Drosophila melanogaster: one gene and its partner. The protein of the gene in region 1 purifies or fractionates together with the protein of each later gene. This does not show direct contact. Each region holds a gene or a part of one and is shown in the gene's direction. Other genes may lie near its edges. The genes, in order: Reph and wap.

Evidence for each region.
Region 2: the proteins of Reph (region 1) and wap purify together in Drosophila melanogaster (affinity purification with mass spectrometry, with the first as the bait; one large-scale study listed by BioGRID). This does not show direct contact.

Annotation. Positions count from the first base shown.
Region 1 is NT_033779.5:3,804,037-3,809,697, forward strand, and holds Reph (regulator of eph expression), read left to right. Parts: upstream 1-1,645; 5' UTR 1,646-2,713; coding exon 2,714-2,785; intron 2,786-2,932; coding exon 2,933-3,020; intron 3,021-3,096; coding exon 3,097-3,425; intron 3,426-3,488; coding exon 3,489-4,205; 3' UTR 4,206-4,859; downstream 4,860-5,661.
Region 2 is NC_004354.4:22,450,708-22,457,293, reverse strand, and holds wap (wings apart), read left to right. Parts: upstream 1-1,871; 5' UTR 1,872-2,020; exon of another isoform or gene 2,021-2,234; 5' UTR 2,235-2,632; intron 2,633-2,707; 5' UTR 2,708-2,709; coding exon 2,710-2,900; intron 2,901-3,103; coding exon 3,104-3,563; intron 3,564-3,621; coding exon 3,622-3,803; intron 3,804-3,865; coding exon 3,866-4,064; 3' UTR 4,065-5,849; downstream 5,850-6,586. Other genes in the region: tilB (touch insensitive larva B), read right to left, coding at 5,867-5,984, 6,046-6,258, 6,431-6,586.

The DNA of each region.
Region 1 (5,661 bases):
GACTCGTAGTAAAATTTTCCGCGTAAAATTGAAAGCAAATTGAAAAGCTCACGAGGGAGTTTGCAAATATAGTGGCAAAACTTAGAAGGAATAATAGCTTATTAAACATGTGTGTGCACAAGGCGAAAATCACATTTTCCTCATGAAACGAATGTAAGAAATCTAACCGTAAAATCTAAATGTTTGTATTTATTTTGTATCCTTTTTGAACAGGTATAATTTAATAATTTATTGTGCTTTCGGCTTTCCACACTTATCATATATTAGTTGAAACAAATTAAACAAATGTGGAATAAAGTTACATGACGTTTGTAAGAAACAATAAATTGAGAAAACTGCCTCGAGCAGCCGAAAAACCAGTTCGTGCGTAGTTTTCCATGTCATGTTTTCCCCATGTTTTCCACATTCGGTGTCGAAAAGCGAGCTCCAAACAATTTCCCATATCATCGTTGCAACTTTTTTGCCGTATTTCTTCACCTCCCCTTCGTTTACTTCTCTTCATTTACTTGCCTCTTCTTTTTGCTGCCACACGTTACTACTCATAGACATGAATATATAGGCATATAGTCATTGGAATAGGAACTTGCCCGCTCCAGCTGCTTCTTCTTTCGTCTATAAGTACCAAGGTGCGCGACAAAATTGTATGTTAAATTGTATGGAATGTTATCTGAAAAATCCGATTACATTTTTAAACGTTCCGTTGTCAGCTGATCTTGATCTTCTGTCTGCATTATGTATAAACCAAACCTAACAAAGGTGTGCAAAAAAAAAAGTCATAATGACTTAATGCTACTTAAACTTATACTTTCGTTCGGCATCTGTCCACCGATGTTGGAGGCACGAGTTGAGCGCGCATGTACAAAAGCACGCAGCGATACGTCAGCCCCCCTGCCCCCTCCATTTTCCATGAGCGCCCACACGGGCATCATCGCATCCACATCCAAAGTGTAGTAAGTGCACTTTGTGAGTGCGGCCAGGGTTGCCAGCGCTATTGCAAGCGCTATTTGAGCAATTGTTGGGTGGGAACGGGCGAGGAATTCAATGAATGGGAAAACAAGGTGCACACAAAAGAAAATCACCCGAAAGAAATTTGCAGGGAATGTTAATTTCGCGCAGTTAATTACTACACGCCGATTATCCACAATCAATTATAGTGCGCAACTTTTGCAATTAAACAAGTCTTACATTGTTGTGAAATAAGATAGGGGGTCGAATGCAGGTTAAAGTTTATTTAAATATGTAGTTGTTCTATGTTAGAAATTTAAATCACTGATTGAAGAGTTCTGGGGCCGGAGAAACATTCTCTAATCTTTTATTAATTCCCTTAAAATGTATCAAATATACGTTATGACATTTAATTATTTTAACAACCAATTTATATTATTCTCACTATTTTTGGTATAAAAAAGATTTGAGGTTCCAAAATAAAATAAAATTTAATTTAATTTAATTATGCTACTGAAGTCAATTCTATTGGATTTTCCAGCGTGCGTCTGGTAACCCTGAAATTGCAAGAGAATCGTGGGTTGCACGCAGTGGAGAATTGGCTTATGGCAAGGGGAATGCGGGTCTCCAGCGCCAGCGCAGAGATTTTGATTTTCAGAGACTTGGAGACACATTGCCACATTGTGGTCGCAATGGCTTTTCAGTTGGAGCGCAACGTTAGCCGGTGACGGGCGGTGGGCTGTAGCGAATATACCCGATATATACCCGATACACACAGTAACACCGTAGTAACCAGCAAAGTCAGCAGGCGTAGGCGGATCCAAAACAGTTGCACAACTGCATTTCGCTAGGAAATTCGAAAAACGCCGAAGAGCAGAACTTAAGCTAATGCCGCGCAGTGTTTGAAAACCAATTTCGATGGGTTAAAAGACATCAAGCAGCAAAGCTTAACCCTTTGGAGGTGCGGTGTGCCTGTTTATTATTTTTTTTTGCGGATTTCGCGTCGTCTGGTTGCCTTTCCCGTAGCCGTGCCAAAAAAATCGATAATTCCGTGCTGTATAAGTTACGGCGAAAGGTGCGCGGATATTCCGTTCGGGATTTGAGTTCGGTTCGGGTGATTTGAGGACCACAGCCAAGTGTGCGCGAAAGAGAGTGTGTGGAGCAAGAGATTTGCAAAAAATCACAATAAAACACTCGAAGTTGCAAATTCAAAGATCGAAACGGAGTTTTCATGAAAAATATAATAGCTTGTGATCAGTCCAGATATCGGAATATTTGGAAAATATGCTATAAAACTCGGAAAACAACTTCTTTAAAACAAGGAAACCGAAGAGAGAGGGCAGGAACTCTAACTCTCTCGCCGCTACCGTTACTCGTTGACTACGCATTTACAACCGAAGAGAGTGCGAGAGAACGTAAACGTGATTGAAATTTTTGCACAAAAGGGATGCACGACGAAGCAGCGCGTAAAAATAACAAACAAAAATACATGCGGAGGCGTATAAATAGAAACGGCGTGTAAAGCGCAACGGCACAAAAGTCGGTAGTATGTAGTAATAGTAGCGCGAACAGAAGGCGAAGGAGAAGCACAGGCACAAGGAAAAGCAGAAGAAGGAGAGGAATAGCGAATTCGACGTCGACTGCGGCGCCGACTGCGACTGCGGCGTCGTAGTAAGTTTTCTGCACTGTGTGTGTGCGCTGCGTGGGTGCATCGTTGTCATTGTGTGCGTGTGGCATGCGAAGTGAATAACAGCCAAAGTAGAAAATCATGATAAAGTTTGTCAGACAGAAAAATCGCGAAAATACACTGAGGGAATCGAAAAATTTTATGCGTAAAAAGGTGCGATTTCTAAATGAACATATAGTTTTAAGGACTTTATTTTAACATAGTTTAGATACACTAAGAATAGTTTGTTTTTTGTTGTATAAAGTGCGATTTATTAATTAATTATTAGTTTATTAATAAAATTAATTTATTCTTCCGCAGCGTGAATCGAATGACTCTGGCACCGAATCTGATGGTGAACTCCTCGATGTGGAAAACCAACGTCACTTAGACGTGGATATGGAAACTAGTAAGTGATCAAGATACTTTTAAAAACTACATACTACATCGGATATCCTAACTTTTTGGGTTTGTTATCCTGCCAGGTGTTGCTGGCCAAAAACCAATAGCTTCTGCAATGATGTGTCACCAGCAGACGTCGTCATCCTGCGCCCATCTCATGTACGACCAGCACAGTTCCGAGGAGGAGTTGGAGGTGATCAACGGGCCGTCCTCGCAGGCGGGTCAGCATCCCGGAACGGCGGCCACGGGCTCATCGTGTGCCTCCCGGATCTCGAATCGCGGATGCACCTCCTCGCTGGACACGGAGGCGCCCTACGAGGAGCGGGCCACCACCTCCAACTCGAAGCGTTCTAGCTCCACGCTGATGGTGGAGAACCGCAAGCGATCGCTGGCCCACAGCTCCGACGATGAGGTGGGTTCCGGTCAAACAGTATCAAAATCATTTAATCCAATCTATGATTGCAATCCGAAACAGTTGCGCAACTCGCTGGAGCCGATATTGACGCCCGTGAATTTTCGCACATCGCCGCCATTGGAGGCATTCAAGCCAAATCGTAGCCATATGATGTTCCGCTCCACAACGCCACTGATATTATCGGAGGCCCGATGTGGCATCGAAAATATTAAATTATGTGATAATAGTGTAAACGAGGAGAATGGTGACAACGGCGGTGGCGGTGGCGCGGCCAATAGCAGTAAGTGCGCCAAGATTGGCGCACTGGCAGGGAATGCCAGCGGAACTGTGGCCGCAACCGGAAACGGAAACGGCGGCAACGAGAATGAGCCGAGTGTGATCAAGGCGTGCAGCAGCTCGCTAAAGATGAGCAACAGCAGCCACCACATTTACCAGCCGCAGCCGAAATATAGTTTCCACTACAACAGCTCGCGGAGCAGTCCGGCCAGCACCACTGGCCTGGATATGGAGGTGCGTTCGGTCAGTCCGCCGGCGAAACTGTTCCACTGCGCCATATCGCCCAGGCGGCGACCCAGTAACAATGCCAGTGGTGCAGCCGGGGGCGCCACAACAATATCACCATCGTCAGCATCATCATCATCAGGCACAACAACGACACACAATGCTGCCAATTCCGCCGGAAATGCCGCTAACGTCACCGCCGTCGCCACCCAGAGACTGCAGCGACCGCATCGGCCGTGTTTAGATTTTGATAAGATGCAGCAGGTTAGTCTCTAATGCAGAGCACGCTAACACCAGAGCAGCAGCCGGAAAAGGATCGTCGTCGGATTGGGACGGGGAGCAGGATGGTCAACGGAACGGGGGGCAAATCAAAGACTTTTTATACGAACCAACAACCACAGCAGGACGCTGAAACTGAAACAGCATTCGGAGGATAACCAGAGTGTCTAGGGGCAGCTAGTAAAACCCCTAGATTATGCAAGCGAGCAGTTTCAGGATTCAGATTCAAGCGCAAACAGCAGCGGGAAATATCATCAAATCAAATTATATAAATCTAAAGGTAATTCAAATTTTAACGCAAACCAAAAAACACAAAAAAGAGACAAACCTAAAATTTACAATAGATGCAGCTATTTTTTCACAATTTTAAACTGAAAAACTGTAACAAAAACTGTAATGCGAACACGGATCGAAAGTTGAGGAGGACAAACAATAGATTTGTAGAAGCTCCGGGATGTAAAAGATCGAAAGTTGAGTCAAAATTGAGGGTTTAGAGACGGAAAATCATATGCCAGCCGTATGATAGAAAGGATCACAAGAATTGATTAAAAATATGTTCAAGGAAAAGCTCTGGGTGTAATGAATTAGATGATAAAAATCCAGCCAGTGGAAACTGTGAACTGTAAATATTGTATTTGTGTGGGAAAAACCAAAAAAAAAAAAAAAATCTTTTGAAGAATTGGCATGCCATCGATAGCAGAAAATGCGATATGGGGATGTAGAACGATAGAATGTATTTAAATTTTTTTAAAAGCCGACGAAAAACGTTTGTGCTGATGTGGCAGAAGACTCAAACTTGAAAAAAAAAAAACAGAGACAAATTATATTTCTATAAAACGAAGGAAAGCTGAGAAAAGCGGAAGCGGCTAGCGGGAAAGCGGGAAATTTGAAAGGTATGGACGATGAAATAGCAACAGCAACAATGTGAAGCAACAATAGCAACTGAAATAATATGATATAAACAGACAAACAGAACCTTTTGTATGATCAACGTGGGGGGGAGCCGGAAAACGAAACTGTCGCAGCGACAGTTGAAAAGCAGTAAAATTATGTGTTTAATGTACAACATAAAATAGCAAGCTATTTTATACACAATATTCAATTTATCCACATCTAAGAGAAACGATTTAAACCAAAAAGCTGCCATCAACACTCATGCATACGATTAAAGCTCTTTAGTTTAAACAATATGATTGATGATTGCTTGGTGGACAACTAGTAAGCGCAACAACTAAACAATTGGCAAATGTTTGCAAGCTCATATGTGTATTAGTAAAGCATAATTACTACCCTTCTTTGTCGCGTATATGAAGAATCTAACGAAAGAAACAAAAGAGATCACAGCAAGTTAAACCCATATTCAATTCAAGGAAAACCAAATGAAATGCAAAAACTAAGAACTAAAAAAAAAACCAGTAACGTGTGCAACCATAGCAAAGCAAAAGTAAACGAA
Region 2 (6,586 bases), on another chromosome or scaffold:
AATGATCTAATGAGGGAACATCTTTTAATCAAAACCACATTTTTATGACGGTACTTTTAGTAGTGCAAACAATTCTAAATTGTCAAGACCTTGTCCGTTTACATTTGATTCACTTATTGGAGAAATGAAGGCTTGCAGGCGCAAGGTTATCTTGAATTCTGCATAAGATAATGCGAAACCCTTCAAGCGGAACTCCTCGTCTTTCTTCCCCTTCCCACGATTGATTTTTCACAAGCGCAAAAAACACCCACGCACATCTCGGGAATTTGTGGCCTTCGATTTGTCCCTGATGAACAGTTAGGCGGAGAGTGGAAAACCGATCGACACTTGTTTACAATCGCAAAATAGTAATAAATAGAGAAAAGCCGTTTTCAAGTTTGCCATAACAACAACTTCAGTGTGACGCTGGCTGGCTGAACTGGGTAGGGGCGGTGTGGGACGCGGACGGCTGTCCTTATGCGGTAACACTTAAAATGAAGTTACGTTCGTGTGTGTGCCGCCAGGCTGTCTACGCTCCCATTCGAGAAAACCGTTGCTTTTACATACATACATGCACAAGTGTAAGGCTCTGCGGGTGGTGTAGTGCAGGGGGATGGGAGAAGCGGGTGGTAGGCCTTAACTAACATAAGATGGCCACACTTTCACGAATCGATCTTTCGTTCATAAAATGCTACAACTACACTACAGCCCATTCACACACATTCACTTAAAAAAATTGAATTATCCAAGCTCACACAATCGCACGCGAGTACCCACAGGTGTAGCTGAACTTTTTCAACGGTTACCACGATTAGCCGCTTTCTTTAGACACAAAACTCATACATTCTTTGCACGTCAAAATCGAAATAATTGTGATAAAAGCAAAAACAATATATAAAACGAAACGAAATGAGATTCTATTTTTAAAAGGTGCACTCACACACGCGCGTACGTTTGGCAGTGAAATGTGTGAGGGAGAGGGGGCGAGCCAGGGTAGTAGTAAAACAGTGCCGAGATTGTGCGCGCGAGCGATGTAGCACTATTGGCTACACGGTCACACACACACACACAGGCGCCAGGCAGCGTACGAATTACGCAAAGTGAAATATCTTTCTCAAAATGGAAAGTGGAAAAGTGACGACGACGGCTATTAGGAATTTTTCATACATCCACGGAACACAAAAAATGTACAAAGGCAAATGCGTATATAAAGTGTATAAATTCATACTAAGATAGAAAACAAATGGGCGAGGGGATGGGTGGCGAAGGTGAAAATTTGACCGCAAAACGAACATCACGAGGCGAACGAGGTCGCGCTGCCGAAAGTCCCGTCTCTTAATGATATCCCACAAATTTTAACGCCAGCCAAGCGACATCATCGTTTTGCACCGCAAAAGGGCCTTTTTCCGGTCGAATTAAAGCAATTTTTTTTTGCACAACACAGAACTCACTTTTTAATCCTATTTTTTTTGCTAGTGTGGCCGCACGCCGAAACGAAGTCACCGTCACTAGATTTTGAAGATAGGTTAACTGTTCTTCGATAACTATCGAAGAACTATGCCTGATGCATGTATGGTTGGTGTACTTGCTAACAGATGAGCAGAGGCCTTCTTAATGTTCCATTTACACAGAATTCCATCATATGGGATTTGAAAAATATGCTTCAAACTTAATAGTTTTTGCACAAAACGCCAATCGAATTATATTTCCAGTTCCAGGGAAAAGATTTCTGGGTGGAAATAAACACACAACTTTCAATTCTTAATTAGACTAAAGTCAAGCCTAGAATATTATATATTACAGTTCAATATAATTTAATACAGAATTTTGTTTTAAATAAATAGTATTTTGTTTATCTGGTATATAACAATGATTTTGCACAAGGTATTTCTTATAGCTATCTGCGCGGTCACACTGTTTTTGTGTGAAAATTCTGTCGAAAAGAATGTATTAAAAGTTCTTTGAATACTAATTCCGTGTAATTCCGACCGTGCTGTTTCAGAAAACTGTGGTTGGATTGGAAACTTAACCAAATTATAAGGTAAAACCGGGGCAGCTTGCCCATCGAAGGACCGCCACAAACGAATTTTCGCGTCGCATTACGTTTTAGTGTTGCCACCTTATACGGAGTGCCGGGCACAATTCCACTTGCTGGCCAAACGGATGCGTTGCGGTCGCGATGTGCACGCCGTTGAATTAATTCCTTCGCCCTGTTGATTGAGTACAGTTCGACTTCTCCGATCGGTGTCCTCCAGACCTAAATTTCGCCGGAATAACGACGGCAAACGGACGGACGGACTCTAGTCGGAAAACGGGCGAGCTGGCAATACTGCCAGTGCACAAAATGATGTGAATCTCGGAAAAGAGGAAAGCTACAGGAAAAGCCAAGGAAAAGCAAGCCGGTAAAGTGTGCAAATGCGAGTGGCAAGCAAAGACCTTTGTTTCCCATTCCATGAAGTTTTCTTGAGTTGTCCGCTGCTGTGAGTGGTCATTATCAGCCATCATCATCATTGTCGTCATCATCACCAAAGGAGCTCGTCGTCATTAGGCCGGCCACCAGCTAAACGGCATTGAGAAAACTCAGCAGCACCTTGTCATCCAAGTCTTGATCTTCGTCTTGGTCTGGATATCCGTATCCAATCACACAGTTCAGGTGGGTTCTTGATCCAGACTCCGAATTCGAATACGAGTCCTAGATTCTCATGCTGATCCTTTTCCATATCTACAGTTATGTCCTCGACCGCCGGAAAGCGCAAGGAGATCTACAAATATCTCGCGCCATGGCCACTGTACTCCATGAACTGGAGTGTAAGGCCGGACAAGCGATTCCGGCTCGCACTGGGCAGCTTCATCGAGGAGTACAACAACAAGGTACAGATCATCAGCCTGGACGAGGACACCAGCGAATTTAGTGCTAAGAGGTATACCGAATATTTGTTTAGCTGATCCCTTCTACTTTCTGTTTTCATTTTATATTTCGTATATTATCTTTAAAAAATAATATAAAATGATAAGCAGTTTTGATATTATTGTAATCATTTTAAATATGAATAGTTATTTGGTTATACGAACCATTTTTCCGAAATCCCCTTCCTCACTGACAGATTATTTCTTCTTCAAATAGCACCTTTGATCATCCATATCCGACAACCAAGATCATGTGGATCCCGGACTCCAAGGGTGTCTATCCGGATCTGTTGGCCACCAGTGGCGACTACTTGCGGGTGTGGCGTGCCGGGGAACCGGACACGCGGCTCGAGTGCGTACTGAATAACAACAAGAACAGCGACTTTTGCGCTCCCCTCACTTCGTTTGATTGGAACGAGGTGGATCCCAATCTGGTGGGAACCTCATCGATAGACACAACCTGCACTATCTGGGGACTGGAGACCGGACAGCCGCACGCTCGCGTCTATGTGGCAGGACACGTGAAGACGCAATTGATTGCCCATGACAAGGAAGTATACGACATTGCTTTTTCGCGGGCCGGCGGCGGTCGGGACATGTTTGCCTCGGTGGGAGCGGACGGGTCGGTGCGCATGTTTGATCTGCGGCACTTGGAGCACTCGACCATTATATATGAGGTAAGTAGAACGCGCGAAAACACAAAAACGGATGACTACATAACGATAAATCCAATAGGATCCTGCTCATACGGCGCTGCTGCGCTTGGCCTGGAACAAACAGGACCCGAACTACTTAGCCACCGTTGCCATGGACTCGTGCGAAGTAATAATTTTAGATGTTCGTGTTCCTTGTACACCCGTTGCAAGACTGAGCAATCACAGAGCGTGCGTCAACGGTATTGCGTGGGCGCCGCATAGGTGAGACTATAAGATTCCTTAAACCTAAAATGTGCCTAAACAATTTGTATTTTGGTTTGCAGTTCCTGTCACATCTGCACTGCCGGTGATGATCACCAAGCACTGATCTGGGATATACAACAAATGCCACGTGCAATCGAGGATCCAATTTTAGCCTATACAGCTGCCGAGGGCGAAGTCAATCAGATTCAGTGGGGTGCCACACAGCCCGACTGGATAGCCATTTGCTATAACAAAGCGTGCGAGATCCTGCGGGTCTAAGTAATTTTTTTTGGTCTGGTCCTTGCTGAAGCACCTGACTGCAATTGCTGAACAACGCACAGTCAACAAAGAAGCAAGTCAGAAAAACACACAACACCCACAAATAAACATACATTTGCTGTTGGTAACTTGGAAGCGGAAAGCAGTGAGCTTAAGTTGGATTAGTTCTGTCAACACGCGTCCGCAGTTTGTTTAATTTTACTGTCTGTCGAGAGAGAGAAAATGTGAAAGTGACGGATATAGAGGCAGAGAAATGGAAAGAGAAAGGGCTTAAAAGAAAGATATGAGTTTGAGGGAAAGAGAAGAGGACGAAGCACTTATTCTAGAATTCTTAGCTGAGTTGATCTAACAAGTATGTAATTATATAAGGTATAACCAAAATATGTTTTATAATTGTAGTTTATTTCACACTTGACAAATCCCGACACTCACACCCCCGAAAACTCCAATCAATTAGAGCCGCTTAATCTTTTTTATTTCGTTTTTATACGAACCCAAATGGAATGCAGAAGAAAAAGAAATCATATTTATTATAACACAATGTCCTACCTCGTTTTTTCAAACATGAATGCTGTTAATCGAGTTTTCGAGTCTGGTCAAAACAGCAACAACCACAAAAATACACAGAGAACAAAAAATGAGAGGTAAAAAAGTAGCCGGCAACAACGCTTTTTCGAAATATTTTTACTTTGTTCGATTTTTGTAACAGATCCAAAAAACGGAAAAACGACAAAAACAAGAGATAAAGAAAAACAAAAGCAAAACCATGGACTTAAGCAATTGCAAAACAAACATAATATGAAATGAATTAAAGAAATAAGCGAAATACTTACATAGATTAAAGATTAAAAACCAAACCAGGAAACTGATGACGAACTGCACACAACACAGCTAGAATACAATACTATTTAAAGATACAAACTAAAAGATAAAACAAATACCGAAATATATGAGCGAGAGAGAATACAAGATTGTTGCTATATCCATTTAACAAACGAGCGAAAATAAGCAAACAAACTATGATCATTTCAGATAAGACACGACCCTCCATCAATAATCTCAAATCTTAACCACATCCCATACTTTCCACAGGACAAAGCGACTTTTTCAGATAAAATCGAATACATTTTTTTTATGTATCTTGTAATTTATAGCAATTTCACAACTTATATATAAATATGTATACAGAAAGCGATAGCAGTAATAATAATCCCGATGATCGTGTATTGTAAATACAGCATGAAAGGCATATTTTAAACGAAAACCAACTTAGGCCCTGATTTTGTATAGCCATTTAAGAGGCCACTTCACGGGAATTTATATCCTCATATCCGAATACTTTTTCGTTTGCTGCAGAAGAGTAAGAAACTGAAATCAAGTCTATGGAATTTGGAATTGGATATATTTTATACGCTCGTAGCCACTAGGCGAAGACATTTTCATTAATTTGGCAAACCACGGTTTCCGTAAAAAAAATAATCGAAAAAAAACCAAGTTAGAATATAATTTTTAATTTAATCTTTATTTTCGTGTGCCCTGTTTTGCATTATCCGACTTACGTTACATTTATATATGAAATGTATATGTACACAAACACACACACACACACACACACACACTCAAGCGCATATATATATGAGCATCCGATCGGGCTAAAGTATTTACTAGAAAGCTAATGATTGATCGATGGAATGGATGGATCACAAAAACCAAACAAAACAAAAGATCACTGAGGAGTTTGAGAAAACAAACCAAATCAGACAAATATTTAAATAAACCATTTTTAAATAATGAACACAGTCTCAAATTAAATCGGGAAGATCTTCGGGTGCACAAATGTTGCTGATGTCCACTACTCCTCCGTGAAACGCTTCCTCCGGTTTCCCATCTTTTTTTCCTGCATCAAAAGGGGCGGCAGGGCTACATGAAAAGGTAGCTAGGATTTGTGGTTCATGATATACAATGAACTGGATGAACTTACCTTTTAGTCGGGCTTTTCTTGGCTATCAGCAGCTCGTTAACTTTTAGCTTCTTAAGATTGACCACAAGGTGACCTGTAATCTGGGAACGCTGCACAGTGGACTCATCCGGCTTGACCTCCTCGCTGTACGCGATCTGGAAGATCTTTTTTTTGACGGTGACTCTAGTGTATGTGGTCTGCACATCGACGTCAATTAGAGAGGTATCCAGGTGTCTGGGCGAAGGAATATACATATGCAATATTAATTAAGAATTTTGAAGTGTATGTATATGATTGGGGCGTAGAAACGATCAAGCAATACCAATATCGATATACATATGTAATATGTTGGTGATAACTTGTAAGATATGTATAAGTTTGGTTAAGACATCTTAGCCTAGCTTACCTGTACACCTCCAGTTGGAGCAAGTAATGGTCGGCCTCATCCCGAAACTTAAAGGGCAGTTTGGCCTGGTTCAGATTGTAGGGTCTGCCACAAGGAGCGAAGAGGTTGCGCTGTGGCTTCAGAGGGTCCAGTGGGGACTTGGTTTCGTGCCGCTCC